Notamacropus eugenii: one gene and its partners. The protein of the gene in region 3 interacts with the protein of the main gene of each other region in a pairwise test. Links are inferred from orthologs where the notes say so. Each region holds a gene or a part of one and is shown on either strand. Other genes may lie near its edges.

Region 1 (7,488 bases), on a different chromosome or scaffold from region 3:
TCCCCCTCCTTAACCCCAAAGCTGGACTTCCGGGCCCACAGAATGACCCGGACACCAGCGTAGGCCAATGAGGATGGTGGGTTTCCAGGTGGGGCTCCCCGGGTCACAAATAAGTTATGTGCAATCTCCTGGTCAACGAGGTAGTTGGTGACCTGGCAGACCTTGTCTACCAGTGCCTGCAATTTTGGTCCTGGCTCATCCACATAAAATAGAAAACCAGGGGCTGGGAGTCCTTCTAGTAGGTGAATATGACCATTGGGATCTAGTGGCTGGCTTGGAGCTGTCTCTACTGGCAGTTTATGGGCTAGGTAGTAACCATGCAAATGTAAGTGGTTAACAGAAGCCAAACCACCTAGACTGTTGAAGCCCACCCGGAAGCCAGGGTGGGTGCTAAGCATGACAGCCTCCACCCCAAATTGTAATGGGTCTGGCATGAGCATCTGTGGTAGCCCTTGGGTTGGCTGTGGCACAAACAGCACATGTCCCCATTCCAAGGGACTGACATTGATAATTACCAGGACCTCAGTGCACTGGAGAGCCATCGGAAAGCCTGGATCTCGGCGCAGGCGGAAGAGGATTTCTCCTGGATGGATCTTATTGAAATTGAACTGCTGAGGGTCAAATGCCTGCCTCACACTCTGGATGTTCTGAGGGCATCTTCTCTGTATGCCCCGATCCACGTTCAGCTGAGCCACAAAACCCAGAGGGCCAGGAAGGATTTGGGTTTGCAGTTCCCCAAGGCAGTAACGAAACAATCCTTGTTCCATCCGTTGTTTCCAAGATGATTGGAGGGTACAATCAAAACGAGACAGCAAAGGGGGACACTGGATGCCAGATTCACTAGTCTGCCATTGTATCCCTTCCACTATCAGTTCCTCGAAGCAGTACACAAAATCCAACACTCCCAGCCCAACTGGGGGTCTTGACGGTTCATCACAGCTATTGCTCTGAAGCGGCAAATTTGAAGTTTCATTTATATTCTGTGGTACAGCCATACGAAAAGGGCACAGATTTCAAGTTCTACCAGGTATGGGTTCCTCCAGGTGACCTGGAACACAAGAGCAATAGAGTATGGTGTCACATTTCGAAGGGCTTTAAAAAAATCTTGGCTGCTGGGTTTTGTTTTTTTTAGGTAACCTTTAAAAGTAACTTTTTATAGTAGAGCACAGACCCTGGAGTAAGGAGGGCCTGACACACCTGAGTGTGTCAACTTGACACACTCACTAGCTGTGTGACCTTGGGCAAGTCACTTAACCCCAATAGCCTTGCCTTCCCCACCTCCAAAAAAAATATCAAACAAACCAAACAAAAAGTAACTTTTACAGTTTTGGAAAAAATACTGTTGTAAATCTATTTCTGTAAAAACAGGTTTCTCCGCTGCTGGGGTCTGTACATATTAATCTTCCCCATGATATGTAATAATATTATAGTTTCTCAATATGTATGCAAGGCCAAAGGAAAATTGATAACCTAATAAAGATTACAAATCCTGTCCCATAACATTTTCCATCTGCCATTGTACCAACTCCTTGAAATTCTCACTTTTAGTTCCATATCCCTCTAATGAGTCCAGAAACAAAGGGAGGCAAAAGTACCTCAAGTTAAAATTTACATTTATGTTGCCTGATAGCAGACCCCCAGTCATCTTCTCTCAGTAGTACAAAACAGGTGACACTTTGGAAAGGGAGTATTCTTCCTAAGCGAGTTAGCCATGAGGCTTGAGGCTCAGGAAGGCAGTGGAGAGGACAGGCCCACAGTTGGGTGTCAGATAATTGGGTTATTAATTGATTAAGCATCTGTTGACCCACTCCTATATGAAGCACAAGATATACGATGAGGAATTAGAGATGTTCCTCACCCTTCAAAGAGTGTAGTTTTACAGTAGGAGATGTAAGACAGGTACAGAAATGACCATTCACATATTAGCATTTACTCGGTAGATGATGCATTATATAGTTTTTAAAGAACACATACATTTAAATACTTGCTCCATCTTCATATAAACTCGCCATGAGGCAGAGATAGGGCAGGTGCCCCGGCGTTACCGAAGGATCTGGAGGTTCAGCGATTGCACAGTCTAAGTCATAGTAAGTGATGGAACCAGAGGGCAAGCCAGCAGAGGAGAGAGCCGCGGGCCCTGGGGGTAGAAGGCTTTGCTGCTCATTTCCCACCCTCCCCTTTTCCGGCTCCAAATAAGGTGCTCCTCCCACTGACGTGGGCGAGACCTAATAAGTTTCATTAGAGACAACAGGAAAAAAAGGGGGGAGGGCGAAATTGACGAGGAGGAGGAGGAGCATCAAAGGGAAGCTTCCTGCATCCACCCTCCCCTGGCTCCCAGCACAGAGGTCTCCAAACAATCGCTGTCCACATGCTCCTCCCTACCCCTTCTGCGCTCCTCCAGGCAGCGAGTGCACCGTCTGTCTGTCCTCGCTCCCCGACTCTCCTCACCTCGGCTCTTCCCAGCAGGCTATGCTAGGTGGGTGCAGGTGCCTTGTCCAAGGTCTGGGAAGAGGAAACTGGCAGCCCCACTTCCTGAACGCTTCGGGGGTCACGGATGCGCATGCGCCTCATTTAAGGGGCAGGATCATCGACTATGAGGTAGAGATCACCCCCCGCCCTCTCGAGGAGCAAATGGGCGGGGCCTGCTAATTAGGCCCCGCCCCCTCCAGTCTCAAGAGGAGAAGACCCTGGCATCCCGACCTACTCCCGCTCTCTGGAGCTCAGTCAGATTTTAGGATCCCAGGATTCAGGACTGAAAGGGGACTTTGCGAGATCATCTTGTCCCTTAGCCTCGTTTTATAGAGTTTCGATCCTCCTGAAATGAGGTACCGTTTTAGGGGAGATCCTGGCTCGAACCCTCATTTCTGGCAAACGCTCTCTTATTAGACCGTAGAAGACACACACTTCCAATACGGACATACCAACAACGTGACAGCCAGACATGAAGCTACATAAGTCCAAATTAGGGGATCAGATAGTGAAATATTCTCCGCACTCATCTCTGCAATCTCCTGCTCTTCCAGGGAATTAATTTAATTCCCCAGCATAGCCCCAGAAGAACAGTCACTTCATAATCTCCAGGGGTCTCTCCTCGGCCTCCTTGAAGAAAGTTGTGCTGATTCTGGAATCTCAAGGTCAGCCAGCCAGTCAACAACTATTCATTAAGGGCCTGCTATGTGCCAGGAACGGTGCTAAACACGGAGACGAAAGAAAGAAAAAGACAGTCCCTGCCCTCTCCACGAGCTCACAGTCTATTAGGAGACAAAAAGCAAACACGTTTACAAACAGGCTACACACAGGATAAAACAGGGTGGTGAATTGGGAAGGACGGCACTGGAATGAAGAGAGGCTAGGACAGGCTTCCGGTAGAAGAGAGGTTTTTTTGTTGGGATCTAAAGGAAACCAGAGGGGTGAGCAGCGGCCGGAGCAGAGGAAGGAGAGCGTTCCAGGCATGGGTTACAGTCAGAGAAAGCTCCCCGGAGCCCAGAGAGATGCCAGAGACCAGCGTCATGGAATGGAAGCGTACGCGTCGGGGATTATAGAGTGAGAAGATGGGTAAGGCAGGACGGCCATTGGTTAGAAATAGCTTGGAACGCCAAGCGGAGCATTTTGTGTTTGCTCCTGGAAGTGATCGGAAGCCACTGGAATTTATTGAGTAGGGGGGCGACAAGGTTGGACCTTCGACTTAGGAAGTAAACCAAGAGTACTTCACTCCAAGCGGTTTCCGAAAGTCGGGGGTGGGGGGTGAGGGTGGCGGAGGTCGGGGGGAAGTATCTAATTGGCTTCTCCTTCAAACCCTGGGGCTCACTAGAGAGACTGTAGTAGTTTAAAAAGCTCCCGCTTTATGGTGCAATCTCCACCAAAGTCCTTCGCTTTGGATCACGTAACGCACAGCATTCTGGGAGATGTAGTCCAGAGACCTTTCAATGGACTTTCGTCCTTATGAATTGTGGGAAATGAAGTCCTGTGTTCAGGCCCAGTACAACCTGGCGAGGAAACTGAGCCCCAGAGACCCGTTCGTCCAAACCCCGCATTTTTTCCACGATACTCGGCTGCCTCTCTTTCTGCGAGGGGTGGGAATAACAAGCTGTCTTCTCCTAAGGCGCAGCAGCAACAGGTCCCAGGATCCCGGCTCACACTCTCTTAACGCCTGCCCCCGTCTGGCCCCTTCCCTTCCCCGCTCCCGCCGACTAGACCGATCACGCCTGATTTTGGAATCCTCTCCCTGGATTTCCCTCCGGGAATGGAGAACTGGCGTTCGGGCCCTTTAAGAAAGAGAGAGGCGGAGCCTACGGGCAAAAGCGGAAGGGGCGTCGGAGTTGCCCCGGTTGCCGCGGGGACTGGGCGGGCGGCGGGGCGGGTGACGCGAGAGGCGGAAGTGAGTGGGAAAGTTGTTGCTGTCCGGGTCGGAGTTGGAGCGGCTGGTCTAGACCCGGCGGGTGTAGCAAGGCCATGGGCAGCTCGGCCAGTCAGCTCTCCAAGGAGCTGCTGACAGAGTACCAGGTGCGCTGGGGGCGGCGGATGTGCCTGGGCCTACCCGGGCTGGGCGGGCGGCTTGGGCCCCGGAACCACGGGCAGGGCTAAGAGGGCCGCGACCCTTGGCCGTGCACGGCCGGTCTCCCCCGCACACCCGCACGGCCTAGCCCCGCCCTCAGGGACGGGAGACCCGAGGAGGCCTCGAGTGCAAGGCTCCCCGGACTGGTGGGGGGCGGGGCAAAGGTCTGGGGTGCCGACTGTGCCCATCGCCTCTCGCTCTTTCTTCCAGGAATTAACGTTCCTGACGAAGCAGGAGATTCTCCTGTAAGTACCCCTCCAGCCTCCGCCTACTCAGGAGGCCGCTGCACTGGGCCACAAGACTTGGGTTTTCTCTCCTGGCTTTGCCACTGAGTGACTGTGTGACCTTAGGCAAGTCACTCCCCTCCCCTGAGTCCCAGCCTGCCCCGCGAACAACTGAGGGGTTGGACTAGACCGCCCGACGTCACGATGAGTATTAGGACTGAAAGAAAAGTGGAGACTGAGTCCCAGAGCGCTGCCGGGCCTGGCCGAGGGCACCGGTGACTCTGAGGGCAGGACTCCAAAGTTCACGCTTCTCCCCTGCCCTGCCCCGCCCCGGTGCATTGTGGGCTGTAAAGCAGGTCCTTGGAGCGGGGCCAGGCCATGGAGCAGTCCAGCCTTTAGGAGCGGGTCTTGCTCTGAGACCTGGCTTTCAGTTTTGTGCCCTCGCTGGCCAACGGGTGGTGCTGTTGCCCGTAGCCTGCTCGGCCACGGCCACCAAGTAGGAAGTTTCTATATTCAGCCACGCGCCCAACTTTGAGTTTTTGAACCACCTGTAACATTTTGCTTGCTCTACGTACTTGGAGATCAAAGCAGTTGCACAAAGCTTTTTCTGAATACAAATCAATAATGGAATTCCTGAACCCTTCTTGGCAGGGGCAGAAACACTAAGAGGGGTGGGTAGCCCCTCGTTGGAGAATGGCTACATTGACTAAGCCTCTGGGAAAACCTCTGAGCAGAATCCAGGCTAAGTCTGAGGACACTAGGCAGAGACTGTGGGATTCTTGGTGCAGTCCATGGGACCATGAGCTTTTTGGCCTTGTTATTCCCAGTGTTAGCACGGTGCCTGGCACATCGCAGGGACCAGTAAATGCTTGTTGACTGACTGACTGGTTCCTACCACCCTCCATCCATCCAAATCCTTTTCAACTTTCAAGGGCCAGCTCAAGTTCTACCTGTTTCCATGAAGCCTTCTTTGATGATGCCAGCTCACAGTAATCTCTTTCATCCTTTGAAATCTTATCACTTGTCTGTACCAGTGCTTTGTGACATCTCTCCTGTATTGTTCATAAGCTTCTTGTGTGTTTTTTGATCCTGCCTTTTCCATAACTAAACAGTAGGCTAGCTCCCCACGCAGCTGTGAATTTAATAGAAACTGTAAATCTTATTTGGTTGGTGGACTGAATGAATATTTGTGAGCTGATAGAATGAATTCTGGTTTTCTTTACCAGGGCCCACAAGAGGTTTAGTAACCTGCTTCCTCCGGAGTCTCAGAATGTGGAAGATTCTCTGAGAGTCCGAGTATCCACTGAACAGATCTTAACACTTCCGGAGCTCAAGGTGGTACCCTTCCCACAATGCTTAGTTCAGTAGTTAATTTCAGCCCCCTGTTTTGGGATCTGTGGGACATTTCTCAATCTAGTAACCCCTTCTTCTTCCAGTAATTCTAGTGATGAGCAGTCCTCTGTAGTTCCCAGTACAGGCCTTTGGACATAGCACATGTGTCATCAAAGTTTAGTGGTTGGTTCCCTATCAGAAACTTAATGCCCTTCTGCTTACAAGAGCCTCTCTTGCTCTAGGCCAACCCCTTCAAGGAACGTATTTGCCGTGTGTTCTCCACAGCACCAGAAAAAGACAGCTTGAGCTTTGAAGACTTCTTGGACCTCTTCAGTGTCTTCAGCGATGCAGCTACCCCTGAAATCAAATCCCACTATGCCTTCCGCATCTTTGGTAAGGACTGAAGGTACCAGGGTATCTGTACTGAGTGGAGTGGGAGCATCATGGTCTTTTCAGCAGGGATAATTTTTTGTCTTGGTCTTTCCTAACTAGATTTTGATGATGATGGGACTTTGAACAAAGAGGATCTGAAGCAGCTCGTGAACTGCCTCACTGGGGAGGGGCAGGACACTCAACTCAGCACCTCGGAGATGAAGCAGCTCATTGAGAACGTGAGCTTGGATAGGATAAGGAGGGAAGGGGATAAGAAAGGGGAAGACATTGGGGCTTTTGATTGAACTTCTCTCTTTTCCCTGGGCAGATCTTAGAAGAATCTGACATTGATAGGGATGGTACCATCAACCTGTCAGAGTTCCAACATGTTATCTCCCGTTCACCTGACTTCACCAGGTATCACCAGGGCCACCTGGCAATTTAGCTACCCATAGTACCTTGCTAGAAGGAGGGCAGGAATAAGAAAAGTGGAGAAGTGTTTTCGGGGTAAGGTTAACTCAAGTCAACCCCATTGTCCTCTGGGATTGAGCCAATTTCAGACAGGTTTTAGGGAACATATTTACCAACCTCTGTCTGAGTTTACTTGATCTAGGTCTCATTTCCTATTCTCTGCCCACCATGCCTGTTTTACAGTGGATCAGTAAGTCGTCCATCTTTGTCTCTTCCAGCTCCTTTAAGATTGTCCTGTGATGGGTACTTGCAGTGTCTGGCTACACCAGTAACCCATTTTTGAGAAATTCTCTTCTATACACTGACCTCACCTGCAGTGCCAATTCGTTGCAAGTGGTCGCCATGCCTGGGCTAGCCCTGGGTCCTGTACCAAAGAGTTCAACCCCCTGGGCTCTCCTCTCCTCACTGCCATTGTGACAACACTGTTCATGTTTATACTAATCAAATAATAAATATTTCGAAGTTTTGCTTATGTGTGTTTTAGTGGGTACATTGGACAGAGCCTGAGGCAGGCAGAGAGAACTCTTTTAAGAT
Region 2 (7,920 bases), about 82 Mb from region 3:
AAAATCTGCTACCCTAGAGATGATAACATATTTTTCTCTCTTCTCCAAAGAGAAGTGAAGGACTACAGGTACAGAATGTTGTATTCAATGTGAGATATGACCTCCCCACCCCCCAACAGGTTTTCTTGGCCACAAGGAGGAAAAGGAATGGAAACATATCAAGTTTTTAATGTAATATAAAAACAGGCATCAATAAAACCTTTTTTTTTTTTTAATGTCTTTTTATAGCTTCTAGCTACTGGTTCTAGTTCTGATCCCTCTTCCACATGAAAGACTTTGATTATAACAGTGTGCTCAAATCTGGGTTAAGGCAGAGAAAATGGGTCTCAGGTTCTTTGCTTCTTTGTCCTGTACCACAGCATTTTTAATTATTTCATTGCCATCTGGCAACCACCAGCTGCTGCCTCTGTTCTCAGCCTAGTGGGCTTTGAGCACTTTCCCCTTATCCTCCTGTGCTTTATTGATGACAACAAAAAGACAGTTCAGAATGGGAGTAGCCAGGGAGAAGTAGAGTTGCTGAGATCCTATCCTGCAACTTCATTGGTAAAGTCATGGCCCAGAATTGCAGAAATTATCTGGCCCAGCACAACCTAGTTGGCAGCTGCTAGCTTCCCTAGAGAATGTAGCCAATGTCTGAGATAATTCCCATTCATTTTGTGTATGTAAAAGGAGGTTTATTATAAACCACTAAACTTCCCAGATTTACTATATTATTTATTTTCCTTTTTTTATTACTGTCAGGGTGAGGCTGACTGATTTATTCAAGTCATGCTACCCCTCTTAAAGTGAAAAAAAAAAGAAACAACCAATCACTCTCAATTGTAGGCTTTAGACCTATTGGTCCATGGCTAGATTTCAGTTAAGTTTGTGAAACTGAATGGGAAGAAAAGTTGCACCACTAACTTCTAAATGAAATTTCTTTATTTTAAAACATTATGTTAAGGAGTCCATAGGTTCTGTCAGACTTCGAAAGGAGTCTATAACACACACATACACACACACACACACACACACACACACACACACAAGTTAATAATCCCAGCTTTACAATAAATGAAAAAATTCCTTTGAATTAGAGTGACATTGCACAGAAACTTTTGATCACATTCCAGGAATCATCTATAAATTATCAAGCTTGCTTAAAACTAGAGGAATTTGAGGGGTTACAACATTTAAAAAAAAAACAAAACCCTTTTAGGAAGAACCATGGGCACTGGAAGTAGAAACCTGAAGTTAAACCTTGGTCAGAGGAGGACCTTATGGATTTTGAAGGGTCCGGAGAATGTTGGACTTCTCATCTTCCTATTGGTGTTCTGGTGGTATCCCCAGATCAGCTGATGGCAGGGTCTGCATTGGGAGCCAAAGACAAATTGAGCATAGACTTATAGAACCACAAATAGCTTAGAAATCAAACCCAGAGCTCTGATCTACCCCTTTGCAACATTTGTTCCCTAAACTTGAGTTGACTTTTCCCTGGTCTCTATATACTTGTGTCCACAGACTTTTATGGAGATGTTTTCTACAAACTTTGCTAATTATGCCAATTTAGTAAATATGTAAAAGTTACGTAAGGCTGGTTGACTAAAATGATTCTCAACTGATAACCTCAGGGGTGAAAGAAGCATGCTGGTGGGGGTTTGAGCTGATGTCATTAGAGAATTACCTCCTGGATTTTCCTCAAACTCTGAGGTGGGGGGTGGGGTGGATATGTAATGTTTTTACAAGACCTGAGGTCCATCTGTAAAAATGGGAGTTGGATCAAGGATCCCCAGAGTTTCTATGGGCTACATTATGAACTTACTAAACACAAACACTTCAACATGCAAAGAAGAAAAGAGGATTGCATAAAATTGAACGTGTTACATACAATTTTTTAAAAATATGTTAAATTTAACATGGTAGTAACAAAAATGCCCTATTTGTCAGTGTCCCCTTCTGAACTTCCTTTTGTTCTGTGTATTATAATATCTCATTAAAACTCTCTTTAATCCTTCAGGTTTATTTTCCCATAGGTCACGAGCAGTCATCGAGAAAAAAGATTAAATCTTGCCTTGGGGATTATTAGTTATGGTTACTGTAAAAATGTTGACTGAGAGAGTTTACATTAACTTTTGAAATGTTTCATAATATGTTCCACTCGTCAAACTACTTTGCTAGACTATGATCAGAGAGGGCTGAGAAAATTGTAACAGCTGGATCCAAGCAGAAAACATTTTCAGTGGATAGGGTCAGAACCATGAGTCATATGCACAGAAATAACCAAAAGGAGGCATTGCTGAAGAGGCTAGTTTGTACTGATTGTGATGTAGATAGGAGCTTCTCACTTTGAGCTCAGCAAAGACTGTAGTATTTAATAGCCTATTGTGTATAGAAAATCATGCTAAGTGCCACAAGAGAGGCAAAGTTTGGATAAGACAATCATGGGTTTTAGGGGAAAAAAAAACTTACATTTGTGTAGTACCTCAAGTTTTACAAAACACTTACCTCACAACCATTCTATGGGGAAGGCAGAGTGTGTGAGCCTTATTATCTCTATTTTGAATATAAGGAAACTGAGGCTCAGCAACTTAGGCCAGTCAAAAATAGGATTCACATCTAGACCCTTTTATTCTAAATTCAAAGTTCTTTTCACTACACAATGTTGTCTTTCTAAAATTCAGACTAATTATGTAATTAATTACATTGTCAGTTTATTTTCCTTTATTTTATTCTATTTGTTGCTCAAGTGGTATCTAAGAAAAAACTGTCAAGTCACTGCCCATGGAGAGTATTGTTTTACAATGAAAGAGTAGCCTAAGATGCTATTTACAAAAATGGGACGTATCATTGTATCATTTTCTTTGTACTTCCTTTGGGAAAAGTTCTAGCTTGATGATAAACAATGCTAATACTGATGCAGAGTGAGTTGAGATGAACCAAGAAAATAATTGATTCAGTGAAATAAGAAAAGCCTACTCTAATCAATTTAAGGACCAAGCACAATTCCAGAAGACCAATGGGAGAAATGATGGTCAATGTAGGAATTTGTTTTGGTTGATTATGCATATTTTATTTGACTATGAATATTTGTTATGAGGATTTTGTTTTTCTTGTTTCAGTGAGGTAGGGTGAGAAGAAGTGGGTGATAGGGATAGAGTTCCCTCCCCACCAAAAAAAATGAAAGAAAAAGAACAGTATTGAAGCATTAAAAAAAAAAATTAACAGAACTGAAGGAAGTCGAGAAGGAATACCAGAGAAGCAGGATAGCCTTGAAAGTTATGTTGAATTAATTATATACTTAAAAAAAGCAAACTGTACATAATAGAGATGTACACTTTCATGTAAAATCTTTTTTTCTCTTCTACTATGTACATGGAAATGCTCATTTTATTTGGTGTCTAAAGTTAAAGAAATAAAATTTTGTTGTTTTTTAGTTGTGTCTGACTCTTGATGACCCTGTTTAGGCTTTTCTTGACAAAGATAGTGGAGTAGTTTGCCACTTCCTTCTCTAGCTCTTTTTACACATGAGGAAACTGAGGGAAACAGGTTTAAGTGACTTATCCAGTGCCACACAAGTAGAAAGTGTCTAAGGTAGGATTTGAACTCATGAAGATGAGTCTTGCTGACTCCAGGGCCAGCACTATATCTACTGTCTCACTTACCTGCCCCAAAGAAATAAAATAGAAACAAAAATAAAGTGTTGCTGTCAATTACTTTCAAGGCCAGTGGAATACAGGTGGAAACTATCTCCACCTTCTTACCCTGACAGGCCAAATTCCGAGCAGGGATAAATGTACATATTCTGTATTTACCTGTCAGTTTATTGTATCCATCTAGTAGACTGTAAGGTCTCTGAGGACAAGGACAATTCTTAGCACATAGGAGACACTTAGTAAGCGCTTGTTCACTGATTGATACTTTAAAGCTGTCAGTGGCTCACAAAGGTACCATATGGATTTCTTACTGACCTTACACAATTGTGATACTCAAATGAGATGATGTATTTGAAAGTATTTTGTAAACTACAAAGTACTAGAGAAGTGTGAATTGTTGTTTATTTAGTCCTGAATTAGTTGTCCACTATGTGTTTAGTCATGTGACTAGAATCAGATTTTTTTTATCTTTAAACTTTTGAGAAGTAGTAGGCACAGAGATGGTATTTTGGTTCAAGTTTTGCAGTCCAGCAGAATGTGTCACAATGCCATAAGAGCAAACTGCTCACTAAGGTTTATTCTGATGTCTGCCTTCTCTTAGTGGTAGAAATAACCTAGGATTCTCAAAGGCTAAGTGGGACTTCCAAGGGAAAATAATCTTGTTTCCTGCTTTCAGTTTGTAAGCACTGCAGTATCACCTAGCTCTTCACAGCTATGTAGATTCTTTTAACTTTCTTAAGTTTCTTTTGTGGAATCATTTCCATTTCCAAGACTGTTCAACTCTAGATTTCTCAAAAGGAATGCTTAGAGGTCATCAATTCTTCTAAAAGTTCTATTTCCTCCATGTTTGGATTATTCTCAACTTTGTAGGATATTGTCCTTGGATACAAGGATATCCTTGCTTTGCTTTTTGATAAATTGCATTCCAGTTTTTCCCCCTTTCTTCTTTGTTGAGGAAAAGTATTCCTGCATGATTCTACATGACATTCCTTGGTATGTGATCTACCTATTTTTGTCCACTTGTAATATTTCCTTTTTGATCTGTAATCTCTGAAGCTTGGCAATCACATTTTTGTGTGACTTAAACCTGGGGTGGTTCTTTATTGGTGGCTCTCCAGTCTCATCATTTCCTGTCACTCAGATGCTTTCTGTCACTATCTTTTCCTTCAACCCTATTTCACATTACGAAGTTACCTTACTATTTACTAAAGCTAACCCCAGAACTTGTTCAAGCAATCCCATTCCATCTCATCTTATCCAACAGATTGCCCCATCTATCATCCCTACTTTCACTTATTTTCAACCTCTCCCTGTCTACTGACTACTATTCCCTCCCTACTGCCTACAAAAATGCCCATGTCTCCCTCATCCTAAAAAAAAAAAACTTCAAATGATCCTTCTGTTTCCACTCATTCTATATCTTTTTTGCCCTTTGTAGCTAAACTCCCTGAAAAGGGCCATCTGATGCGGCCTCCATTTACTCTCCTCTCACTCTTTTCTTAACCCCTTATAGTTGGGCTTCCAAACATCATTCCACCAAAACTGCTCTCTCCAAAGTTACTAATGATCTATCAGCTGCCAAATCCAAATGGTCTTTTCTTAATCCTCATTCTCCTTGACCTCTCTGCAGCCACTGACACTGTTTATCACTCTCTTCTACCTGATTTTCTCTCCTCTCTAAGTTTGTAGGACACCGATATTTCCTGGTTCTCATCTTACCTATCTGACTGCTCCTTATCTGTCTCCTTTGTTAGATTCTCTTCTAAATCATGCCTTCTAACTATAGGTGTCTTCTAGGCTTCTTTCTTGGGCCTTCTTTTCTTCTCCCTCTATGCTACAGTTATCCCTTCTACATCATGGGTGCTAGGGGCATGGCACCTCTACAATCTGGAAAATCTGTGTAATTTTTTTTGCCCTCTCTTCATACCAGAGAAGTCTGATTTTTTTCTATTATGGGGTATTTACAGTACCTTATTGTAAAGTTTGGTTAAGTCTTTGGTCATAGACTATATTTTATGCATTTCTGAGTTTCTAAACTTTTTCTGAGTTTCTGATTTTTTTCTGTGTCATCTGCTGGCCTCCATGTGTCATCTTCAGCTTCTGTAAAATTCTCCCAAAATTCCCATTTAATTTCTTATGCTGATTCATGATATATCAAAACCTCAGTGGGGAAAATTGTGATGTGGAAGGGATACCTGTACTTTACTTTGTGATCTCAGTAGCTTTCATGGATTTAATTACCAACTCTATCCTGATAATTCTCAAATCTATCTATCTTACATCAAACTCTGTGCTGACTTCTAGAATCTCACATCTCCAACTGCCTTTCAGACATCTTAAACTGGATGTTTAATAAATACCTTATGTCCACTAAATGTCCAATAAATACACTATATCCAAAACAGAACTCATTATCTCTTCCCCAAATTCTCTCCCTCCCACCTTCCCTATTACTATAGAGGGCAATGCCATCCTCCCAGTCTCTGAGTCTCACAACCTATGACTCATCCTGGATTCTTCATTATCTCTTACTCCCCCCTCCCTACCCTACATTCCATCTGTTTAAAAGGATGTCAATTTCACCTTTGAACCATCTCTTAAATATATTTTCTTTTCTCTTATGATGTTGTCACCACTCCAGTGTAGGCATGAATCACCTCAGCATCTGGATTACTGTAAAAGCGTACTGGGGGGGGGGGGGGGGTCTACTTGTCTAGACTCTTGCCTTACTTTAATCCTTTTTCTACTCAGCCACCAAACTCTTCTTGATAAACACCAGTTGCTACCTATTGCCTCTAGGATCAAATACAAAGTGTTCTGTTTAGCATTCAAAGCCCTTCATAACCAACCCCTCTCCTACCTTTCCAGTATTATACATTACTCCCTGATATGTACTCTTCAATCCAGTGACAATAGCCTCTTGGCTGTCTAACAAACAAGGCACTCCATCTCTTGGCTCTGGACATTTTTCTCTGGGTGTCCCCTACGCTTGGAATATTTACATTCCAACTACTGACCTCCCTAGGTTTCAAGTCCCAACTAAAATCCTATTTTTTTTTTTTTACTGGAACCCTTCCCCAACCCCTCTTCATTCATGTGCCTTCTCTCTTTTATTTTCTATTTATCCTGCATATAACTTGCTTTATCTATCTATCCATCTATCCATCTATCTATCTATCTATCTATCTATCTATCTATCTATCTATCTATCTATCTGTAAAATTTGTATCTTGTCTCCCCATTTGTAAGCTTCTTCTGAGGGCAGAGACTGTCTTTTGTTTCATTTTGTATCCCTAGCACTTAGCACAGTGCTAAGTTCATAGTAGGTGCCTAGTAAATGTTTATTGATTGATTATGCATACTATTGATTACTTTACCCTCTAATTCTTATATTTCTAGGCAATTTTTCTGATTTCCTGAAGTAAGCATGATCCTCATACTTTTTGTTCAATAATGTTTTTCTGGAAGTTCAGTAATTCTTAGGTGGACTCTCCAAGCCCTGTATTTCAGGCAAATTATATTTTGTTACAAAGACCTCCCAAGTTTGCTGTCTTTTGGCTCTGCAGTAATATCACTGAACTTTTTTCTTTCTTCCATTCTTTTTTTACCAAGTACCCATTGCCTTGCTTATGTTTTATAACTTCTCTTCAAAGTCATCAATTCTTCCTTGGAGATTTTCATCATAGGACATATTCTCTTCTTCTGGATAGTTCTTACTGTTCTCTTACTATTTCAGGGGACTTTTATTTGCTTGCTCATTTTTAAGTCTTTTTGCTGTTGTTATTATAAGAAATTCCTTACTTTCTCTTATATTCTATTGTTCCTTCAATTTATCTGTCAAATGTCTGTTTTGAGCTAATGAGGCTAACTGAAAACCTCTGATGCAGCCATATGGATGGAAGCCCCCCTCAGCAGGTATTTGATACCTCTTTCTGGAATGAATGCATGAGAATAGTTAGAGATGATGCTTGAAAGGAATGTTAAAACTTGAAATAAAAGACCTATATTAATCCTTGGATGTCAAAATGAGGTTAAACTTTATCTTTTAGGCAATGAGAAGTTATTGTGCGCTGCTGAGGCAGTATTGGGGAGTCACGTAAGATAAATTATAATTAGGAAGCTTAATCTAGACAGCAGAAAACAGGGAGGATTGTAGAGTGAAACCAGTTAAAAGACTACTGCATAAGCCCAGGTCACAAGGGCCCAAACAAGGGATATTTGAAAACAATGAACCAATGGGAGAGTGATTGTAAAGGAGACAGCAACCACCTGGTTATATCAGGCCAGA
Region 3 (8,066 bases):
TATGTATATTTCTTATAAGGGTTTTACTTTTTCTTTTTTAATGAAGAGTGGAAAGAAAATAAAAGCTTTTTAATTGACACAAATTTTTATTTTAAAATAAGATGGAAAGTACCATTTTTTATTGATTAACGAGAGTTCAAGCCAGCCTCAGATCTGCCTTGTGTCCACCGTCCACTTCTACAATGGATGCAACTGCTGATGCCTCAGAGCTCCACCCTCTGATCTTGTCTTCAAGCTCCCAATCTGGCACTATTTCCCAGATTGGTTCACTTTATCTATTTCATCTCTGGCTTCTGTTTGAAGACTTCAAGTTACGGGTACTATATTCTGAGGCATTTCACTTCAAGGGACTCTTAATTGTTAGGAACTGTCTCCCTACACTGAAACTAAATTGGCTTCTGTCAACTACTGATTTTGTCTCCTAGGGTTATGCAGAATAATTGTAAGCACTCACAGGCATAAAAGCTCCTCAAATACTTGAAGACAGCTATCACAGAGTCTAAATCCTTCCCTTCTCCAGGCAAAATATGAATGAATAAGCAAGACAGCATTTAGTGGGCACTAATAATGTACTAGGAACTATGCTAAGCACTTGGGATACAAATACAAAAAGCCGAAGGGCCTCGTGCCCATAACGAAGTCACATTCTGAGAAGTCTGACAAGACAGAAGCCAGGGAGAAGTGTTATGGTCTAAGTCACAAGGATGGTATTGTTGATTTGATTGCTATTTCAAGAGCAAGAGGTTTCGGGGTATGTGAGAAGGATAAGCGTTAGCATAGAAAGAAGATGGCTAAACTCCCCTGTGAAGCCCACTGTCCTGTCCTATTTATTCCTATTTCCTTACCCCCTACCCTCCTGTACCAGTTTAATGCCATCACCACAAGTTTCAGTGTTTATATTCCTAGTTCTCCAGTGTTATCAGCCAGGTTCTAGCTTTAGTTTCCTTCCTTACACAGTCTTGACCACACGGTCAGCTATTTTAATAAAGCCCTCTTCTTCACCTTGATGCCTCTGACCTCCTACTGTCCCGTCCTAACTCTCAACTTTAGGTAACTCTTACTATTTTGCCTCCTCTGTTCCTATTTCCTAGATGCCAAACTTTGCTGCAAGTCTGCTCCAGTGTGTGCTATCTAAGCTCAGTTAGGCAGCCCTTTCACTCTCCTTCTAATTATTCTGTTGGCTGTTATTTCACATTCCCCACAAAGTGGGTTTCACACCGCTGTTCTCTTCTCTAGTCCCTAAAGTTGCCCCCCTCCAGCAGTCTGAGAAAATGACTGCCTCTTACACTGCAGGCTGATGCTTACATAATCTGTGCTCTCTTATCTATCCCTTTCTACTTACATGATCATCCCATAGTTCAAAGTTTCATCACTTTCCTACAGAACTTTTGCCTTCTAATTGGTCTCCCTGCCTAAAGTCTCTCTCCTCTTTAATCTGTTTTAGACTTAGCAACCAAAGTGCTATAACTAAAGCATAGCATGGTACAGTAAAAAGAGTAAGGCTTTAGAGTCAGTAATTCATAACCAGTCTGACATTTACTATCTGTATGGCAATTCATTTAGCCTCACCTGGTCTCAGTTTTCTCATCTATAAAATAAGAGGCTTAAGCTGGATAGATGGCCTCTAAGATCCCTTGCTAAATAAACTTCAATTGTTCCCTATTTCCTTCTAGGAAACAGAATTGTCTCCACAACTGCTTTACAAAATATTTTATAACTGATTATCCAAGAATAATAATTGATAAAGATACTGGATAGGGCATTCTCTTTGATAATCTCACCTACCATTTAATTTGCTGTCAATCTCCCTTTGGTCCCATGCAAGAATCTAGTTGCAATAAAATAATAACAATAATAAAAAGAATCTTGTTGGGGAGAAAAACAATTATGATTCTCAGAGAGCCCATCTTTTCTAGTCATAGGTTTGAAAGGAAAAGATGAATTTGAAGACACACTTGCTAAAATATATTGTTGGTGGAGATATTAACAGGTTAACCATTCTACGTGAGGTAATGTGGCATTACGCTCTTTAAAAAGTGACTACAATGTCCATCATTCTGACCCACAGAGCCTACCGATAGGCATACATCCCAAGGATGTCACAGACAGAAAGAAATGTCCCATATACATTACAGTGTTACATAGCAGCACTTTTTATGTTAGTGGAAAAACTATAAACAAAGATCAAAGGATGCAGAATGGTTAAACAAATTATGGCACATGAATTTAATGAAATATTAAGATGCCATAAAATGATGCATAAGAACAATTCAGAGAAGCATTAGAAGTCTCATATGAGCTGTTGCAGAATGAAGTAAGCAGAGCAAGTTAAACAAAATACAATATACCTGTAATAACAAAATACTTTTAAATTATATTAACCAACTTCAGCTATGAAAAAGAAATTTTAAAAATGCATCTGTTTCCCTACTTTGCAAACGAGGGACACTTGGAAGGATGAGTAACATCAAACAGGTCAGGCTCTGGATGGTGGTTAGTTTCATTAAAATACTCCCCCACCTCCACTCTTTTTATTCTTTGTTACCAAGAATGGTCTTTGGGTAGGAGAGGAACATGGAATATGTTCAGAAATGAAGATCATTTAAAAACAAAAGCTATCAAGAAAAATTAAAAAGCAAAAGAAAATGTGGATTTGGAAGTGATTTAAGTACACTTCACTCTTAAGTAACTTTTTCTTTTTGTGTTCAGGGCAAAGGAATGATAAAACTTAAAAAAAAAAAACAGCTTCATATTCTCTAGGGTCATTGCTAGTAAATATTTTTTAAAATCACTTTGTAAGCTTGTTTAATGCAAGAGTTCCCTCAAAATTCTATTTAAAATGAAAGGTTTCACAAGCACAGTTTGGTAAACCAATACTTAGGCAAGTGAGAAAAGACTGTAAATCTACTTGAAAATATATTTATGTTTTATTATCCATAAATGAAAGAAACTTTCTAAAAGCTTTTATGCTACAAAAAAAGTTTTAATGAGCCTAAGCACTAATATGGGCAAGACTCTGCGTACTCAAAATGAAACAGCTTTTCTTACCACATGCCTTTTACTTACATAAAATCAAAGAAAGTAGACTTCAGTGTTCATCACATAAAATAATAAACATTCTTTTTCTACTGATAGATAGCAAATTTAACAATACCTAGAAGCTGATGGCCAAATAAGTCATACAGTAACGTAATTACTCTCCTACTAAGGACTTAATAACCTATATAAATAAAATGCCATACCTTTTGATTTTCTCCCAGTATCTGAAAGAATGGATGCTGAAAACCATGTATCAATTAGAGTTACAGGCAACAGGTAAATACATCTGTGGGTCAATCTTTCCAATTCCAATAGTTCCTGAAAAAAAATTTAAGGAGGACTGGAGTTATTTTACAATGCTCATTACTTTAAAGGAACCCTTTAAAGCATTTAATAATTCTGAAAAATAACTGATATTTATATAGATCTTGAAAATTTGCAAGGCACTTTTTCACATTATTACAGTTTTACAGATCTGAAAGGTATACCTATCATCTGTCTGAACAGGGATTCAAACACATCTGTCTACACTGTAGTCTTACCCTTTGCATGACACCATTCTGTGACTTCAATAGAAGTCTTATAAGGGATTAGACCACCTCTTACAAAATAAGGAGGGAAAAAAGAAAGTACTTCATTCAAGGAGTGGAGTACTTTTATAGCTAGTCTAGTCTTTCCCAGATGATGACTTTTGACCATACCCAATGGAAACTGTTGTTTTAGATGAGTATAAAATGTTCTAAATCAAGTATCCATTCTTCAAAAATTGATACTTTTCTGTAGAAAGGGAGAAATCTGTGCAAGAAACAGCCAGGAAATTGTGAGGGTTTTTTAAGTGTAAAAGGGAAATCATCAGAATGACTTAATAATAAACTTAATTATAGAACACTCTTGCTGTCTTGTTTTGTATACATTTTCTCCACCTTGTGTTCTATAACCTGTTTTTCCCCCTACTTAAGACCATAAGCTTATACAATATGAAATCCCCAAACTGATATCCCCAAAGAGTAGCTCTTCAGTTTCTATTCTGTACTCCAATTTTATTTTACTACTGTCTTTATTTTGTTTAAAGGAGAAGAGTCCTTATAACAGAAAGCTAAACAAACTTCTGCATGTTCTGATAAGAGAATTCCCTCTTCCCTCCAAAGTATGTCAATAAAAAAGATGCATAAGGATTTACGATCCGCTCCTCTCCACTCCAACACACACAAAATACTCCTCGCCCCTAGTAGTTAACCTTGGGAGCTTCAGAAAAAGACAAGGTTTAAATACAATCACATACACTCATCATTTCACAGTTGCTACCCCACCTAGACTTGGCCAATACTAGAGTAATAAGGCACATCTAGCAGCACTGGCCACCCCCTTCCACACATCTAGGAAAAAAAGCTTTCAAAGAAGGAATACCCCATGATTTTGGACTAATTCTATATGTAATCTAAACTCTTAGGCCTGCCATGGTTCTATAGTAGGTAGCTCTTCAGTTCCTACTGTTTATTCCCATTTCATTTTATCAGTGTCCAACTTGTTCAAAACCAACATGTAAGGTGGCATATAATCTCTCTGAAATTCCTTGAGAAAATTAAAGCAGTGTTTTAGAACTCCATGGAAACACTACCCTAAGTTAAAGACAAATACATAAAACTGCCACAGAAGGGGAAATAATAGTACTGCTTAATAATTTTTATTTTAATTCCGTACATAGAAAATTGTGTCTAAGAATTAACTCTTATCCATGCCAATATTTTTCACGAAGGATAATCTTCCAGAAGGAGGGAAGAGCTCCCAACTAAGCAGGTGAGAGAGGATTCAGGTTTCTTCTTTCCTAGGTCCTGCGCCAAGTGGCTTAGCATTATAGCTCAACATCAGGAAAACTCATGCCAGAAACAAGTCTGCAACTCCTTACTGCCCTCTTGGCAACTAAGAATATCATCTGTCACTAAAGTCATAATTAAAGCCAGAATAGTCTTTATAAAATTTAGGAAGTGAATGGTGGGAGTGTGAAGAATGGGTAGGGAAGGGGTAGGTCGAGAAGGTTATTAGCCAGAGGGGTCAAACTCCAAGTCAGTAAGTGCTGCAGGTACCAGAAAAAATATAATTAGGAAATACTTTGCAAAATAAAAATATAAAACAACATAGATAAAGTTCATTCATGGTTTTCTAAGCCTGTAAAGTTCCGTTTCTATTTAAGTTTGACAACAATGGTGTTAGCTACGGGATAAACTGAGAAAATTTCTCCAATGAACAAAACTAAAATAAATAACTTGCGTTAAAAAAAAAAATTTGACTTATTTATTCTCACACTTTAGTTATTTTTGAATGAAATTTCTCCATTTCTTCAGCAGCTACATAAAAGTATTACCAGATCACTTTAGGCAGTAAATTTAACCTTATGTTCACTTTCCACAAACAGCATAACAAATCTTTCTAACAAACCGCTTTCCTGACTGTGCTAGAAGAAAAACAGTACTTTAATTAAATTACATTGAAATTTTTCCAGAGCAAAATTAGTGACTTCAAAGTCATGGAGTAAAGAAAAGTAAAAGATAAAGATGATACATACCTTTAATACTAGAAATTATCGTTATCCAGAGTGCAGGATACATTTCTAAAAGTTTCTGATTCAGTTATAAAAACTAAATAACAATCAAAGTAATTTGCTTAGAACAAGTTTACTATGAATAATCTATTGCACCAATGCAAAACACAGGCACTTGAAATGCTGAACAGATCTATTGTGGTTGTTGTTCAATCCTATCCCTCCCTCTTGACCCCATCTGCGATGTTCTTAGCAAAGATATTAAGTGGTTTGCCATTTCCTTCTCCAACTCATTTTACAAATGAGGAAAGCAAGGCAAATAAAATCAAGTGACTTGACCAAGGTCACACAGCTAGTGTCTAAGGAAGAATTTGAACCCTCTTTCTCCTGACAAGGGCTAGTGCTATATCCACTGCACCACCTAGCTTCCCTTGCATAATTAACGAAGAATGGAAAATTTATGTCAACTCATCTCTTGGCGGAGACGGTGCAAACTTTTTTCTTCTATGTAAATATGTATTAAACTGAAGAAATGGAGAAATTTCATTCAAAAATAACTAAAGACAATATAAAATACTTGAGAGTCTAACTGTCAAGACAAACCCAAGAATTATATGAACACAATTACAAAATATTCTTCACACAAATAAAATCAGATCCAAAAAACTAGAAAACTAATAATTGCTCATGGGCAGGCTGAGGTAATATAACTAAATTAATCTACTTAGTGCATACCAATCAAACCACCAAAAAAAATAAAACTTTTATAGAGCTAGAAAAAAAATAACATCTGGAACAAAAAAGTAAATGACATCAAGGGAATTAATGAAAACAAATGTGAGGAAAAGTGTCCTAGTCACACCAGATCTCAAACTGTATTATAAAGTTGTAAATATCAAAACAATCTAGTATTGGCTAAGAAAGAGTGGAAGATCAGTGGAAAAGATTAGGAGCACACTACACAGTAGTACTGACCAGTTATCTAGTATTTGATTCTGACTGACCACAGTAATGACCACAGTAATCTAGTATTTGATAAACCCAAAGATCTAAGCTTTGGGAACAAAAACTTATGATGTGAGAAAAACTGTTGGGAAAACAGTATAACAGAAACTAGATATAGACCAATATATCACAAACTGTATGTCAAAATAAGATTAAAATGAGTACATCATTTACACATAAAGGGCAATATACCATAAGCAAATTAGGAGAACATGAAGAATTTACCTGAGATATATGGGTAAGGAAAAAATTTAGGGCCAAATAAGCTATTGAGAACATTACAAAGTGTAAAAGAGATCATTCTGATTATATAAAATTAGAAAGTTTTTGCACAAACAAAACAAATGCAAGCAAAATTAAAAAGGAGAAAACTGGGGGAAATTTTTGTAGTAAATAGGTCTAATAAAAGCCTCATTTTTCAAATACATAGTGAACAGAGTCAAATTTGTAAGAATACAAATCACTTCTCAATTGATAAATGAATAAACAGGCAGTTTTTAGACAGAAATCAAAGCCATCTACAGACATCAGAAATGTTCTAAATTATTACTAAGAAAATGCAAATTAAAACAGTTCTGAGATATAACCTCACATTTATCAGACTGGCTAATGACAGAAAAGGAAAAAGACTAATGGTGGAGGGGATGTGGGAAACTGAGACACTAATGCTCCATTGGTGGAGTTGTGAACCATTCTGGAGAACTACTACATAGGTTCCCAAAAAATATAGGCCCAAAGTACATATAAAACCATGTATACCCTCTGACTCAGCAATACCACTACTAGGTCTGTATTCCAAAGAGATTTTTAAAAAAAGGACCTATATATACAAAATATTTATAACAGCTCTCTGTGGTGGCAAAGAAGTGGAAGTTGAGGGGATACTCATCAACTGGGGAATAGCTAAACAAGTTGTGGTATATGATTGTGATGAAATACAATTGTGCTATAAGAAATGACAAACAGGATATTCTCAAAAAACCTAGAAAGACTTACATAAACTGATTTAAAGTGAAATGAGCAGAACCAGGAGACCACTGTACACAGTAAGCAATATTATATGATAAAGTAACTGTGAATGACTTGGCTCTTCTCAGAAACACAATGATCTAAAACAATCCCATTAGATTCATGAAGAAAAATGCTGACTCCAGAAAAAGAAGTGATGCTGTCTGAATACAAACTGAAATATAGTGTTTTTCATTTTCTTTTCTTTCTTTCTTTGGTTTGAGTCTTCTTGCACAAGGTGACTAATGTGGAAATGTGCTACATGATTGGATACTATATCAAACTGTGTAGTGTCTCAGGGAGGGAGAAGGGAGGAAAGCAGGGATAGAATTTGGAACTCAAAACTTTTTTTTAAAGTGATAAAATTGTTTTTACATATAATGGGGGGGGGGGAATAAAACTTTAAAAATGTTATTCCCAGAGAACATAAAGTTACAAGTATCCATTTTTGATGCAGGTTGCTAAATAAGTCACT
Region 4 (7,805 bases), on a different chromosome or scaffold from region 3:
TAACAGTTGAGCCAAAGTAAAGCATACCTAATTAAACTCTGTAGATCACAAGACACTTCAAGTCTACTCAGTCTTTCATTTTCTGTGTTAGATTGAACAGGGTTATAAATCTGGGAGACTACATGGAGTTGATCTAGAATAACCAAATTAAACTTTCTTTAATGACTCACTGCAGAATGTATCCACAATCTAAGCCAATGTTCTCAAACATCAATCAATAAAAGGAGTCTGAGATAAACCAAACTAGCAGAATCTGAAATGTTTTTTTAGTCATTGCAATCATGTCCATTTGATGTTTCTTGGCAAAGAATACTGAAAATTGAAAGAAATACAAGGGAAATTGCTATTTCCTTCTTCAGTTTATTTTACAGAGGAGGAAACTGAGGCAAACAGGGTTATGTGACTTACCCAGGGTCACCTAGCTAGCATGTATCTGAGGCCAGATTCAAACTCAGAAGAGTCTTTCTGACTCTAGGCCCACCAGTCTATCCATTGCATTACCTAGTTGCCCCATCTGAAAGGTATGCAGGCTAATTTTCCAGTAAATCTCAGAAAGAACACAAATTATAGAATGGTTGTTTACAGTCCTCTAAAGCTAATAATGTTGATAATGAGGATGATGATATAACTATTAGAATTTATCTAATAAGGTTTGCATAACAGTTTACAAATAGTATCTCATTCGATCCTCACAGCAACCCTTGGGAGTTATTATTTTCACCATTTTACAGATGAGGAAACTGAAGCAGACAGAAGTTAAGGACTTACTCAGGATCACAAGACAGGCAAATGTCTGAGGCTGAATTTCTTTCAAATCTGACTCGAACTCCATCTCTCTAACCACACTGCTGAACTGAGCTGAATGAAGTAATCTAGATAAAATTTCACCAGCATACAAAATACAGTTATGCTTATTAGGATGTATTTTTAAAATAATAATAATTGCATGTCTATATAGCATAGAATCATAAATCTAGATCTAAATAATACCTCAGAGGTCAATTAATCCAGCACCCTCCTTTTATAAATGAGGAAACAGAGGCTGAGAAAAGTTAGATGATTTAACCAAGGTATTATAGACTGTAAAAATCACAACTGGAATTTCAAGATCTGTTGAATCCCAAATCAGTATTTTTCCCACTGTATCATGTTTCAAGACAATTCTTCTAAGAAACTAAATTCAGATTGATATTCCCTTTTTATTGATGAAGATATTGAAGCATAAGGAGTCAAACTGGATCCCCCAAAATTCAGACTCTTAACCCATTGTCCCCTTTATCATCACATTATTTAGATCTTCTAGGATCTAAATACTGTGATTTTGTTCTTGCAGCATAAACTTTCAAGAGTTTTTTAACAGCCACAGTACACTAATAGCTCATTATTAAATAGTGCCTCCAGCAGATATTTGCTGCTACTATACTATAAATATATATATTTAGGGGGAAAGTAGAGGCAAGCCTTGAGATTCTAAATGATACCACTGCATGAGACTGAACATAGTCCTAAGCATGTAGTGGGCACTCAGTAAATCCTCATTGGTTGAATAATACAAAATGTTATTAACCCAAACATAAAATTAAGTAGATCTCAAGGATCAAAGGTAGAAGGATATTTATGATGCTAAAAAAAATTATGTTGGCAAAGTCTTTTACTAAAATCTGAAAATACAAGCCACTGACATTGCCTTTCAGGTAACAGAAGGTAGGCCAGTGATAGTTGTTGTATATGACCCCGTGATGTCACTGGTCCTCTTTGAAAATGAAAGACAAATAACAAACATTTGGGATATAGGAAAATCTAATTACTTTTTAAAGAGGATTTTAATAAAAGCTAGCTACAAAATTCCTCTTACATCTTTCAAGACTTATTGGAAAGTATTAATTAAAGACTGAATTTTAAATTCTCTGTTTATTTCTTACAGTATTAACAACCACAAAACAACTTTGTGAGTTTTGGAAACTACTCAACAAAGGAACTCATAAATTTTCAGAATGACTTACAATACCACAAACTTACACGTTATAACCCATGATCAATTTTTGTTTTACCCTTTAAAACCAAAGAAACAACAATTTTTAAAATCGTATATCTTATTATATATAGTTACATAAAGTTTCCAAAAGAACAAAATAATACATCTGAAAGATTTTAATTATTAAATCATTTCTATTTGGTTAATATTCGATAAGTGTTGGCTTTTGTTTTCACAATTCTCAAAAGAATAAATACGGCACATCTAGCTCCTGAGCAAAGTAACACACCACTGAACACACCTAAAGTATATTTTTAAAAAAACAAAACATAATGTGCTTCCTGTGCATACCTGACCTATCATATCTTTGTGATTATAGGCAGGGTAAGGAGTAAAGGACAACGTGTCAATTGTTGTCATTATTTAGAACTGAAGGTCTAGAAAGAACACAGATTTAGATTTAAACTTATTTACTCAGTGGTGAAAAAAAAACCAACAATAATAAAAATGTAACAAAAAATGTCTCTGACTCGCAGAGGCTTTGGAATTCCTGGCATTCCAGCTATATCTGCTTGAGGCATATGAGATTCAAAAAAGATACAGACACAACTTGTTTCTTGACTATTTTATATTCAGTAATTTTTAATGAACCCACTAAATTAGGCATAACTTAGTGAAGGTTTAATGTAGTTATGATGAATATATTTTACTTGATTAAAATGATAAACTCATGCAGCCTTAAATATTGTCTTAAAAGATTAACCACTGTCATTTACAAATCTGGGGGAAAGGTATTTATATGTGAATGACTATCCTGGAAGGAAAATTTCTTTTTGTTCAATCTATTTCCTTAATTTAATCAATCATGTTTCATGATTAATATTTAAAATGTCTTAAAGAGTACAGAGCCTGACAATAAAGAATAAACTTATTTGGGCAAACAAAGACTCAGTTGGAAGTATGGAGTCCGAAATTCATCCAGTTAATGTTATGAGTCAAAGAAAACCACTTTAGAGACTCACCTATCTCCTCTAGCTATATACTTTGATCTAATTAACTAGATAATTGCCAGATCTAGCTTTCACTTTGTACTATGTAGACATAATGTAAATAGAAATATAAATTAATTTTTTATCATTCTTCACCCACCAAATTTGTAACAGGCACAACCTGGGTAATTTCTATGCCTACCACTATAGGGAAGAGGCAAAAATAGTTTGCCTCAAGATGGAACAGAGCAAATTAAATCATTTTTGCTCTAATCTCCCCATTTTTGATAAAGCATTATTAATAACATTACTGGTCAACAGTACAGGGGGAAGGCCTTTGAATTTCTTAGTTTTAATTCTTGATAATATTTATCCGCAGGAAAACTTTTCTTTATTTGTACTAGACTGACACTATTAGAATTAAAAATTAATAAGAGAATTTATACTACAACTTTCACCTAAGAAGTTCCAAAGTACTTTACTTGCACCCAAACATCAATCATTTCCTTGAAACAGATAAAGTAATGTGTTCAACTAAGAACGCACATGGACGGTTTACCACCCTCTCCTAACACTCCTCATGAATGTAAGGTTCAATTAACACAATCCTATCTCCTTCACTCAGTTTCTTTAACCTTTAATGATGAGGATAATCTCACTTCCTTTTTATATTGTTCTTCAACTTCCTAGAACCCCATAATCAATAGGTCATATATTTCTATACCTCAAAAATCCATTTTTTTTTTTGGCAAAGAGGAAAATAAACACAAAATGCCATCTCAAAGGAAACCTAAGAGATGAATTAAAAATGCTGGAGTGGGGAGGAGTGGCATGTGAAATATTTTTTCAGAATGGGTTGACAGTTACTTTGAAAAAGTATTTTACTTGTAAGGAAAGTGACTTCTCATATACAGTCTCTACTATTACTACTAGATACTAGTATAATACTGCTGCTGCTGCTGCTGCTACTACTACTACTACTACTACTACTACTACTACTACTACTACTACTACTACTACTACTACTACTACTACTACTGATAATTATAGTCACTTAAATTCCCTGTCAGAGATGCAGATGAAGAGTTGATTGAAAAGGAAGTAGGAGAAGGCTTGCCATAAATGAAAAATGAGGCACAGGAAAGCTTTATGACTGGGAAATCAGCACAAGATGTGGAGACAGGTTGGACCAAGTGGGTTCTTTTTTTCTGTTTAGCTCCACAGAAACCTGAAAATTGGGGGCTTAAATGTCTGTCCTTGGTCATCCGTCCTTCCCCCTTTGCCCCAACCCGCTCTCAACAGATGAGTCAGTAGGGAATTTCACCTGCGGATCTGCTGGACCCTCCATTTCTCTCCTCTTTTCCTCTGCCTGGCTTTCTCAGACTCTGTAATTCCGTCTTTCTCCCTCTCTCTCCCTGAGTCTCCCTGGAGTGGTCCCAGCCGGGCTGAGGGCAGCAGGCTGGTGATAGGCGGTGGCGCTGACAGGAGGAGGAGCCTAGAACTCCGGGTCTAGCCCGCCCTCTGCTATAAGCCTCTTTGCAGCTTTCTCTCTCCATCTCCTCTCCTCCTCCTCCTCTCTCTCTCTTTCTCTTTCTGTCTCTCCCTCTCTCCCTCCCTCCCTGAGCGTCCCTGTAACTGAACAGTGAAAATTCACATTGTGGATCCGCTAACAGGCGCAGATGTCATGTGAAAACGCACATGTTCTGCCATCCACACAGCCTTCCTTTCTTTCCTGCCCCCCCCTCCTTTTTTTGCTCCTTTCCCCTCTTCTTTGTAACTAACCAAACCACCATCAACTCCTCCTCCTTCTCCTCCTCCTCAGTCCAAGTGATCACAAAAGAAATCTTCTAAACCGGTGGTGGCATTTTTTTTAAAGCAAATACACTGGAGAGAAAGACAACCAAACAAAACAAACCCAGGCACCAATCAGACAACATATTTTCACCCTTCCAGAAAACAACAACAACAAACACACAACAACCACAAAACCCCACCTGACCAAATAGACACCACTACCACCATCATTATCATCATCACCATTATCATCAAAACCAGTTAAGGCAGCAGAGGCCTCAGTAGCCACACAGCAGCCAACACCAACAACTGGCAACAATAACAGCCTGGGAGGGATGGTTTTCTCGGCAGAACAGATCTTCGGCTGCAGCCTCCACTCGTGCTGAGAAGGGATTTTTGTGCTTTCCGAGGTGCGGGCTGGTAGCAGCTTCATGACTGCGCGGAGCGAGCGATCGGCAACACCATGCGAGGTAAGGAAAAGGAACTCAAGGGGGGAGGCGGAGTGGGCAGGTCGAGAGGCAAAAAGCTCTAGAGAGATGGGTTCGCATTTGAAGATGGGATGGCTTGGGGGGGAGGGAAGCTGTGGAGACCAGAAGCTCAGTGGAAAGTGAAGGAAAAGCTTGAGAACGGGGTATTTCACCGAGTTCGTGTTCATAGGGAGAGCTGAGAGTGGCCTTGTTGGATAAAGTTTTGAAACGGTGTTTCTGTGGCTCGAGTTTTGTTTGGGTAGGCGAGGAGAGGCTTTTGTTTGATTGTTTGGGACTTAGGGAAGAGGGATGTTCCCTAGGAGAAATTTTATTTTCTACTTTAGTTACTTGCACTGAAATCTCTCTCTCTCTCTCTCTCTCTCTCTCTCTCTCTCTCTCTCTCTCTCTCTCTCTCTCTCTCTCTCTCTTTCTCTCTCTCTTTTTCTACGCTCATGGAAAAGGGTGGGATAGGATGGCCAGGGAAAGGAAAAGAGGAAAAGCATTTTATCTCAGCAATATTCTAGTATTTAGTAAAATGCAACAACAGTCACACATACTGGTCGCCAACCTCGGCTTGGGAAGATTAAGGGACAACATCCACTCCAGGGAGACGGGGATGGGAGGAGTAGCCGCGAGCAAACCAACCCTTGGACCATCTCAGGGAAGAGCGATGCATTTTTCTTGAGCGTGTAAATGTTTATTGAACTTGACTGGGGGGAGGGGGGAAGTTAGAGAGAGGGGGAGGGGGAAAATAGGTACCATGGGGCACCGGTCAGGTTGCGGGGAGACTTGCCCTCTCCTTGTCTCTTGCTGCTTCTCATCCCAGAATCGTCGTTGTTTCTGGGGCTCTGAAGAGGCCGAGGAGGAGAAGAGGGGGCCATGAAGAGGGTGGGAGGAGGAAGTTTTGTTTGAGAAGTTAGTTCTCTCAGCGAACAAGCTTGCTAGAGTTGGGTAGAGAAGGCAGCAAGCAGTTACTCGGTTTCCTTGAGCGCTCCCCCCTCCCTCTGCTTTCCAAGTAAAAGAGGGTGAAAATAGAACCATACCCCCCACTGTAGCTTCTGGGGATAGTGGAGGGCCTAGGAGGTCCCAGAGGTGGCGTGCTCGGGCGGGGAATACGTCTTTGAAGACACCTGTCCAAAGTTATTTTTGTCTCCCTCCTCCCCTTCCGCGGTACCTCTATTCGGGACTGTCAAAACATTATCTCCCTCCACGAGAGTCGATTCCCCCTCCCCATTCTCCTCCTCATCCTCCTCACCGTCATCCTCCTTTTCCTCCTCCTTTCTCTTATCCCCACTCTTCTCTTCTTTTCCCCTAGAACTTAGAGCTGACTCATTCTTTTTTCCCTTCCGCCCCGCAGGCTCCTTGCATGTCAATGCATCAGGGGACTAGCTGGAGAGCGAGCTCTCTCCTCTCGGTGTCCTCTCACGTAGTCGGGGTCCCTTCTGGTTACTGACATTCCCTCCCCCGCCTCTTAAATTCTAGCGCTGCTTCTCTAGGTCGGCTTTCGCTGTCCTTTCCTCTCTCCAAACCCGCCACTGCTGCCCGACCCCTTCATCCTATCCCTTCATTCTCACCAAAACACTTTGTGCCACACCATGACAGCCAAAGTTAGGACTAGAGCCTGAAACGCTTCAGCTTCCGCCACTTAATGACTTTGAAAGGGAGCCGAGAGTTAGAACAGCAATTAAATTTTCTCTGGTTTCTTTCTTTTCCCACACACATCCCTCCATCTGTAAGATGTTGGACTGCAGTTGGGCCCACGCTGGACAGGATGGGTCTTAGAGGAAGCGGGGGGCTTGCAGACCCTCTTTCCCCTCTCTCTGCCAAAGGGGAACAAGCATTCTCATCTGGCCAGCTCCCTTCCAGACCACTGTCCTCAGCCTGTCGCTGAAGTTAGATCCCTGCACAACTGATAGGAATAGTCACCCCCTCTAGGTTGGGACCAAGACGTGAGGTTGGGGATCTACTGTGAGTGTGCACAAGTTTGTGTCTGCTGGGACAGAAGGGGGAGGACCCACGTATTGCGTTACACGGAAGAAAGCTAGGTGGCTGGTGGTGAGAAACACCCGTGGGAGAGTTCGTGAGTCCGTGGATGGTAGATTAACGTCAATGGGGCAGGGGACGCGAGTCCACGCTCCCGGTCCTTGAGTGTGTGTGTGTGTGTGTGTGTGTGTGTGTGTCTGGTTCAAGGCTAGTCACGTGTTCTACTGACCAACTTCTCTGAAGAAGCTGGAGGGCGGGCAGGGAGGAGGAGGGTCACTGTCCCTTCTTTCCCTTCTCCCTCCCCCTCTAGCACTTGGTACACACATAACGATTGCTCAGCATTAAGAAGCCCCAGATCCCCTTCATTTCTGTCAGGTTCCTGCCCCCTCTCTTTTTCTTCCTTCCTTTCCTGGGTAGCGGAGAACTGCTTTTCTTGATATGTCAGCGTACTGGGGGGTAGGGGCTTGGGGGTGGGGAGGCAGGCAAGTCTACACCGTCGCTCGAGGCTTTAAAGCTTCCCCCCCCCCCCACACACACACATATACACACACATACAAATACACAAAATCACAAAAATAAATAAATGAAGCTGGCGGG

Evidence for each region.
Region 1: the proteins of NRIP1 (region 3) and CIB1 interact in a two-hybrid assay, tested with the Homo sapiens proteins (2 studies listed by BioGRID and IntAct). The link is inferred for Notamacropus eugenii from reciprocal best matches to the Homo sapiens genes NRIP1 and CIB1.
Region 2: the proteins of NRIP1 (region 3) and CEP70 interact in binary tests that used the Homo sapiens proteins (3 or more experiments, as listed by UniProt). The link is inferred for Notamacropus eugenii from reciprocal best matches to the Homo sapiens genes NRIP1 and CEP70.
Region 4: the proteins of NRIP1 (region 3) and RORB interact in a two-hybrid assay, tested with the Homo sapiens proteins (2 studies listed by BioGRID). The link is inferred for Notamacropus eugenii from reciprocal best matches to the Homo sapiens genes NRIP1 and RORB.

The regions. Positions count from the first base shown.
Region 1 is NC_092872.1:169,846,161-169,853,648, reverse strand, and holds CIB1 (calcium and integrin-binding protein 1), read left to right. Parts: upstream 1-3,947; 5' UTR 3,948-4,452; coding exon 4,453-4,503; intron 4,504-4,765; coding exon 4,766-4,800; intron 4,801-6,005; coding exon 6,006-6,114; intron 6,115-6,353; coding exon 6,354-6,504; intron 6,505-6,603; coding exon 6,604-6,722; intron 6,723-6,811; coding exon 6,812-6,900; intron 6,901-7,172; coding exon 7,173-7,194; 3' UTR 7,195-7,421; downstream 7,422-7,488. Other genes in the region: GDPGP1 (GDP-D-glucose phosphorylase 1), read right to left, coding at 1-995. UniProt on the Homo sapiens protein: Calcium-binding protein that plays a role in the regulation of numerous cellular processes, such as cell differentiation, cell division, cell proliferation, cell migration, thrombosis, angiogenesis, cardiac hypertrophy and apoptosis.
Region 2 is NC_092876.1:328,657,531-328,665,450, forward strand, and holds the start of CEP70 (centrosomal protein of 70 kDa), read left to right. Parts: upstream 1-4,607; 5' UTR 4,608-4,625; intron 4,626-7,920.
Region 3 is NC_092876.1:410,459,200-410,467,265, forward strand, and holds the start of NRIP1 (nuclear receptor-interacting protein 1), read right to left. Parts: upstream 3,358-8,066; 5' UTR 3,243-3,357; intron 1-3,242. UniProt on the Homo sapiens protein: Modulates transcriptional activation by steroid receptors such as NR3C1, NR3C2 and ESR1. Also modulates transcriptional repression by nuclear hormone receptors.
Region 4 is NC_092874.1:374,203,836-374,211,640, forward strand, and holds the start of RORB (nuclear receptor ROR-beta), read left to right. Parts: upstream 1-4,511; 5' UTR 4,512-5,221; coding exon 5,222-5,228; intron 5,229-7,805. UniProt on the Homo sapiens protein: Nuclear receptor that binds DNA as a monomer to ROR response elements (RORE) containing a single core motif half-site 5'-AGGTCA-3' preceded by a short A-T-rich sequence.